2 linked regions of the Kluyveromyces lactis genome follow. The protein of the gene in region 1 interacts with the protein of each later gene in a pairwise test. Links are inferred from orthologs where the notes say so. Each region holds a gene or a part of one and is shown on either strand. Other genes may lie near its edges.

Region 1 (3,760 bases):
GACGCTTTTCCTTCAATCTTGCCCTCATTAGGGTTTGAATCTATATTGGACGGAAAACACTTTGATAAACTCCGTTACCCGGAGTAAGGAGATCATTCACACTAACATGAAATTTTTTTTGCCAGTATATAAAATCAGATACATATTTCTTCGTTTCCACTTATAGGCCTTTCAATGATTAAATACATTAGAACTATTTTAGTTTAACCTTAGTTACTATTTGTTTCCTAAAAGATCAACATCAATATTATCGCTCCACGGTTATCCCTGTGTAAGATTTCGTTCTGCGCGGGGACCGGGTTATGTGTTGTTCACTATTTCCTGGTTTTAATAATTTGTGTTGAAGCGTAGATTTAATACCAAGTACGTTGCTGGGCGCCTGATATTGAGTCAATTTGATTATGATCTATTGGGAATCAGCTGTATCTACATTTTCTCCACTTTAATGACCGTAATGTTTATAATTCTTGGTAGTATTTCTTACTTTCGTTTATTTTATTATATTTAGGAACTTCCGTCGCGGTTATGTACAGAGAGCGTTACTATAGAGCATTCTTTCTAGTTAGATAATCAAACCTAGAGTACGTGTACCCGATGAATGGTAAATCTTCCTTTGCATTGGATTGAGGAACCCCTTGTTGCTGTGTCATCATCTGTTCTCTTTGTCTTGCAGCTTGTGCCATTGCTGGTGAATCAGGGACATTTTCTAATTCATCAGTTGGGAAGAACCTAGTATCTGTGACACTGGACAACTTAGGAATATAAGGAGCTTCCACTTGCCTGATAGTGTTCCAATCAACACCACTGAAGAAAGGATGTGCCTTAATTTCATCGGCACCACCATGTCTACCTAGACGATTTTCAGAGTGAGTTAACAATCTTCTGATTAGATCTTCAGCTTCATAAGAAATATGAATATCATCGGGGAATTGCAAAGTTTGTTCGAAATTCATGATCTTACGATACGTTTCTTGTGGTGTTTCAGAGCAAAATGGAGGCCAACCAATTAGACACTCGTACATAATAGCTCCTAATGACCACCAATCACATTCCTGACCATAACCTTGGTACAGGAAAATTTCAGGTGCAATATAATCCGGAGTACCAACAGTAGAGTATGCCATTAGTCTACGCGACTTTCTCCAAGTTTGCATTTGTTGTCTATTTGTCATGGTTAAATGAATGGCGTCAACCAACATTGTATTTCTATTACCATTGTTTGTTTCGTTTGGGAGCTGAGGTTTTTGTAGATTTAATTGCTGTTGTTGCTGTTGTTGTTGCTGTTGTTTCTTTGCCTCGTCCTCTTGTAATAACTTTTTGTAGTAACTTGAATCGTGAGTCTTATGGAACCCCGTACTCAAACCAAAATCTGATAGTTTAATGTGGCCTCTAATATCTATCAAGATATTATCTGGTTTAATATCTCTGTGAATAAAGCCCAATTTATGAATGACCTCGATAGCAAGTATACATTCTGCCATGTAGAATCTTGTCACATCTTCTGTGAAAATTTGCCATCTGATTAACATGGTCATCAAGTCACCACCCGGCAAAAACTCCATAATTAAATACAAATATTGTGAATCTTGAAAGGAATAATACAATGAAACAACCCACGGAGAATCACTTCCCGCTAGAACATCCCTTTCAGCCTTTACGTGAGCTAACTGATCTTTGTTGTACATTTCCGATTTCAGCAATGTTTTCATAGCATATATCTTGCCTGTGTCTTTCTTTTGTACCAATCTAACTTCACCAAAGGCACCTTTACCGATGACTTTCACTGAATTGAAGTCGTCCAACGATAATCTCGTTCTACGTAGTCTCAAAAATTGTGACTCCTTTTTACCTAAAGAAGCAAGCTGTCTATTCTTACGTTCCTCGGACCAGTCCTGGGATGCCAATTCGGATTCCAGTTCCAATCTTCTTTGATTTCTTTCAATAGCATAACCAACACTACTCTGATAAAAGTTCTCTATCTTGAGCTTAACAGCAGCTGCTTTGTCTTGGGTAGTTTTGGTCAATAGGTCAGGTCTTCTCTCAAAATACATGTAATTATTCGCCGATCCATTCTGTTGTTGAGCTTGCTGCTGAGACTGTTGCTGAGTTTGTCGTTGTCCTTGCTGCTGGGCCTGTTGAGTTTGTTGTTGCTGCTGCTGCTGCTGCTGCTGCTGCTGTGCATGATACGTATTGTGTTGAGGTGACTGAGGTTGGGAAGAGCTTTGTTGCTGAGTAAATGTTGGCGGTGTTTGCTGTGTCTGTTGATGTACCGATCTCACAGGACTCTGTTGACCATTCTGCTGTTGCTGCAGTGGTGGCGGGATGTACAAACCGGACTCACTGGCAACAGAATATTGACCGGGAGATGTATGCTGAGCGGATTGATATACCTTCGAATTAGAGTTGTTGTTATGTGAATAAATGCTTTGAGTTGGTGGTGGAGTCGCTGGATAATTCAAGTTGGGCACATCAGTAAACCCTCCATTCGGATAATATTGATTATTATGCGACTGAGGTTGCGATTGCTGTTGGGTCAGACGGTCTTGTAAAGACGGCTGTGATCCTTGTTGTTTCATATAATTGGTGCTGAACATGGGCTGAGAAGGTTCCGAAAAGGGCATGTTTCCCTGTTGCTGAAAATCGTTTGGACGACCAGAAGGCTGTTGATAGTAGTTCTGATTCGAATATCCACCGTACATTACGTGTTGTTGCTGAAGTAGCGACGTCCAAACGGCCTTGTTGACGTGAAATATGTCTCTAAACGTTAACAGTATAGTTTCATGTTCGTTGTTTTCTAAAACAAGTTTGATTCGATGTTTTTGTTTTTCCAATGAAATTGGCGATTATGGCAAATATTGAAAACATATTTTAGACAATGGAATGAAAAAAGTGGTATACATGGTGAGTATGTACATGTTATATTAGCTAAGGTCATATGTAAGCTTTACTGCCTGCAGGATCAATAATGTAGCCTGAGTCCTACGCTATTCTTTGTAAACAATTCTTGTTAATAAACTCTTATGCGTTCTGCTGAAAATTATACTTAGAATACGTATAATACAAATCGCAAAGTGAAGAAGTACCCAGTGGAGACTAAACTATACAAATGACAGATATGAGATTATAAATGTGATGAAAGAGTATATGTGAATTCGTAATACTTATAGAAAAGTTAAAAAATTGACAAATGGTAACAAATTGGTCTTCCAAAAGATAATCTCAGAATTGCAAAGCTTGACCCTTTTGCTTCTTTTCACCACCCAATTCGAAGTGCTTACATCTCTTCAAAGCCAATTGGGTCTTGGTCTTACAGGACATACATTCCAATCTCAAAACGACCTTCTTGGTAGTCTTAGCTTTCTTGTGGAAAATTTGCTTGGTTTGACCACCGAAACCAGATTGTTTACGGTCATATCTTCTCTTACCTTGAGCGTACAAGGAAGCCTTACCAGCCTTGTATTGGGTAACCTTGTGTTGGGCGTGCTTACGGCACTCCTTACCCTTACAGTAAGTCTTTCTGGTCTTTGGAACGTTAACTGTTAGAAATTAACATATCATAAGATAGTGATACATGTCGATGTTAGTAAAAAAATATTCTTTAGCTTCATCCAGCTTATTTTGATTGCAGGAATTCTATTCTCTTCTTCTTATTGTATAGGGAGGTCCAGGCTATCTGAACCCCAGTTGTTTAATACGACTGAGTTCCTGTTAATTATGTTCAGTCAGTGTAGCGTTGACTTCACTGATATACAATTCTCTG
Region 2 (3,760 bases), on another chromosome or scaffold:
GATGTTCCACTGAATGTATCCACACATGCTTTGAGGGTCAGTATAGTATCATTTTTAACAGTTGGTGACGATGCTGCCAATTTATCTAAGAGGTTCCCAAAAGCATCCTCCTCAAACTTTTCCGTGGCAGTGATGGCACTTCTCAAGGCTAGTTTCAAATCATTATTGGTAATTTTGTATGGATCATTACTTGGGGGTTTGAACATGATTGGGAAGTAGCAGAATAATATATCAAATAATTCCTCCTTGAAACTGTCAATGTTGCGTAAACCGGTGCTAATATCAGAATTCAAACGGAAAGATATGAGAAGATTTCTAGGATCTTTCTCACCAGTTGCAACAAGAATAAAAGTTTCGATATATAAGTCATTCAATTTGAGATTGCCCAACATCTGGGATTTGAATTTGATAAGTATATTATCCATAATCCTGAATCCGAAATATCTAGTCGCAGCCAAAAAGTTAGTAGGTTGATAGTCATTTCCTAAAAGTTTTAACAGCTTTTCGACGTGACTAACGTAAAAACAGTCCATTAGTACTAATGAGTTGATCCCTTGTAGTGTTTCTTTCATGCAGCCTGAATCTTCCATCTTACTTTGGTAGAAATCGAATATCACTGAAACATCATTCTTCTTTAGTACCGCTGGTGAAATGTGTTCCAATATACAAGATAAACAGCTCAATGCATTTTGTCTGGTGCTATCGTCATCAGAGGTTAAGTACTCTCGTAAAAATATTACAATTCGTAACAATTCAATGCTCTTTCGAGTTACCTCATCAGCGATCGTATTGGCCAATTTGTCTGCCACAGAAGTATTAACCTTTGCATTAGCCATAAAACTGACAATGTCTGCTTTCAATTTATCTTCTGTATAGTCTGTCGCCATTATGGTACGATATAAATATTTTACAGTGATAGGGCGGTCTTCAATGACAAGTTTATCGAATGCTAAAGCACTAAATAACTCGTTGAGTTCTTACTCGTTCTTGTTGACTAAGGTTGGGTTTTATTCCACATTACGATTTTGATATGTGCAATGCTTCCGATTAGGCTTAATTATTTGATTACCCGGAACACTCCGTATCATGTGACCAGATCAAGAATAACAATTCAGTGAAGTTAACAGTAGGAGATGACGATGAAATGATCTGCATAAGGGAGTGGAAGAAAGAATTGCTGTCTACGCGGTAAGAGATCGTTATTCATAATTGATCGTGTTCCCAAGGTTTATGGAATACGAGAATTTGGGTTGAATTGTGCTTTTATCAAAAGGCCTATTGTCACGAAAATTCGCTTTCCAATTGTTTTAAATCATAATAAGAAAGGTCCAATACTGCCAGATATCCACAACTTACAATTGGACATGAACTCTGGGTTTATGTTTCCTCCAGTGGGGAAAGAAAACAGGGCACATGGTACCTTACTTTCTGATGATATGGGTAATGATTTTAAGTTTCCAAGTGAGAATGTGAACCAAGTAGAGGTTGAAAAGCAACAACAGTATCCTTCCACCCAGATTGACCAGGGGGCTGTGCAACATAGCAATACAGATTATCCTCAACAGACACTGAATATCATAGACATTCCACCGGTAGATCCTAATGGTGTGACCCCAGAACAATTCCATATCAATGCATTGCAATTGAACAAGCCGGGAGATAACCTGTCGAACAAAATTACAAACAATATAAATTACAGCATCAACGAGGTATCTCAGCAACCAAGACCTGATCCTGCATCTGCTAATAGTACATCCTCATTCCCCGATGAATACGTTGCCGGATTAAGACAGAAATCGGCAACTGACTGGAAAAGTCCGTCTGAATACGCATTACACATTCTTTTCACAAAGTTCGTAAGATTTGCCGAGATGAAGCTTAATATATGTTTACAATATCCGAGAGAGACGGAACCTCCAATTATAGAAATTTTAGGAGAAGGCAAGGATATAGAATTTGACAAAATTATAGAATCGTTGGGTTTCATTTCCAAGAAAAATGCGAAACCGGTAATAGATGCAATGATGTTTTGGAGGAAGACAAAGTCTGAAGTAGCTGCTTTAGCAGCGGAAAAACTGGATAAAATCATGCAAGAATATGAGCAGTATGTGAAGAATAATGAGCAAGTTCTGGCAGCTAGTCGAACTCACTCAAAATCATCTAGCTCAGCTAGCAGCAGGTTGACACATAGAAGAAATACCTCATCAAAGTCCTCTACAAGCCTGAATTCTCATTCAGATCCCAAATTTGCATCATTAGAGAACCAGGTAGAGAGAACAAAAGAAATGGCTTTCCAGGCCGATAGAAAATCTCTTATTACCATTTATATTTTGTGTCGTGTTTTGATCGAGATTGTCAAGCAGAATCCTATGGACTTTGATGATGAGTTAAGTACGAAGCTTGAAGGTATCGTTTTCACACAATTGAAGACTACCGATCCATCATCACTGTCTTCAACGCTAATTAAATCAGCAAATTGGAACTCGTTCGCGGAATTATTAGGCTGGATGAGTGAAAAAAAGTTTATCTCTGTCAGTGATAAATTTATAGCAGATCTCGAAAAAATCCCTCCCAAAGTTCCCCGTGATCAAGAGCCCTCTGTGCACCTTTTAATCCTAGGAATGCGTTATTTGAGGCTTAAAAACTATCCTCTAGAAATGTTTGAGGAAAGTGCAGGGTTCATCAAATCTATTTCGAAGTTCTTTGCTCCGTCCCAAAACACTTCTATTCGTTTGGCTTATGCTGAAGTACTAAGTCAACTTTTATTGCCGTTGGCTGGAGCAATGACAGCAGAGGCTAATCATCCAACGTGGATAGAAGCAATGACGTCGATCCTAGCTACCTGTAAAAAACTTCAAACTGACAGCAAATGCTGGACACTTGCTTTCAAGTTGACCGTGGCAGTGTTGTGTGTCTCAGATACTGAATTGTTTTCCAAAAACTGGTTATCTTTGATCGAGAAGAACGTTACCAAAATTAAATCTAAGTCATTAGAAGATCGTGTTGCTTTCTCCATGGGCCTTTCAAGGTTGATATGGGTCTATCTTTTCAGATGTACTGAAACCTTAAACAATACAGACAAAACGTTGACAAAATTGTTCTCGTTATTTTTGAGTTCAAAGAAGAAGGAGAACTGGATCACGACAGATATGGATATCATAAACCCTCTATGTGATGTTTTCGTGACTGTGGGATACGTTCATCCTACCTTCGTATTTGAAAATGTTCTTCTACATTTGATGAAATCCTCCTTTAATGGGACGAATTTAGAGAATATTGCACATGAAAAATTGATACTAGTCATCAATACTTATAGAGGATTACTTATGACTAAAGAAAGGCCTATATTCCCTGATGGAGAACGCAGGTTCTATGAAGTTGACTTGAATAAGATATCGGTACATTCTTCGGATAAAAATTGGGCCAATCATGAGGAACTTGTGAAGTATTTGTACAAACTTTTCATGTTACTTGATTCTAATATAGGATCAGAGGTGTGGTCACCGGAAAATGAACACCGTCGCCAACCTTCCACACCTTTCTCAAATATCACAAATTTTGGTTTCGGAATCAATAATGATAACAGTGCAAATTATGCACGAAGCCTGAATATGGCACTTTTTGCAACCCTTATTGAGGTTTTGCCCTGCTGTTTGTCAGTGTCTCAAAGCATTCCATTCAAATCTACGATTGAAATTCTATCCAGGAATGCTGTCCACGCAGATCAGCTGATTGCGACAAGTGCCCAAAATGCATTGAA

Evidence for each region. The genes of interacting proteins can lie anywhere in the genome.
Region 2: the proteins of CBK1 (region 1) and TAO3 interact in binary tests that used the Saccharomyces cerevisiae proteins (3 or more experiments, as listed by UniProt). The link is inferred for Kluyveromyces lactis from reciprocal best matches to the Saccharomyces cerevisiae genes CBK1 and TAO3.

Annotation. Positions count from the first base shown.
Region 1 is NC_006040.1:668,553-672,312, forward strand, and holds CBK1 (serine/threonine protein kinase CBK1), read right to left. Parts: upstream 2,700-3,760; coding exon 543-2,699; downstream 1-542. Other genes in the region: RPL42A (60S ribosomal protein eL42), read right to left, coding at 3,220-3,536. UniProt on the Saccharomyces cerevisiae protein: Protein kinase that seems to play a role in the regulation of cell morphogenesis and proliferation.
Region 2 is NC_006042.1:443,309-447,068, forward strand, and holds the start of TAO3 (Tao3p), read left to right. Parts: upstream 1-1,364; coding exon 1,365-3,760. Other genes in the region: MET18 (Met18p), read right to left, coding at 1-887. UniProt on the Saccharomyces cerevisiae protein: Seems to play a role in cell morphogenesis.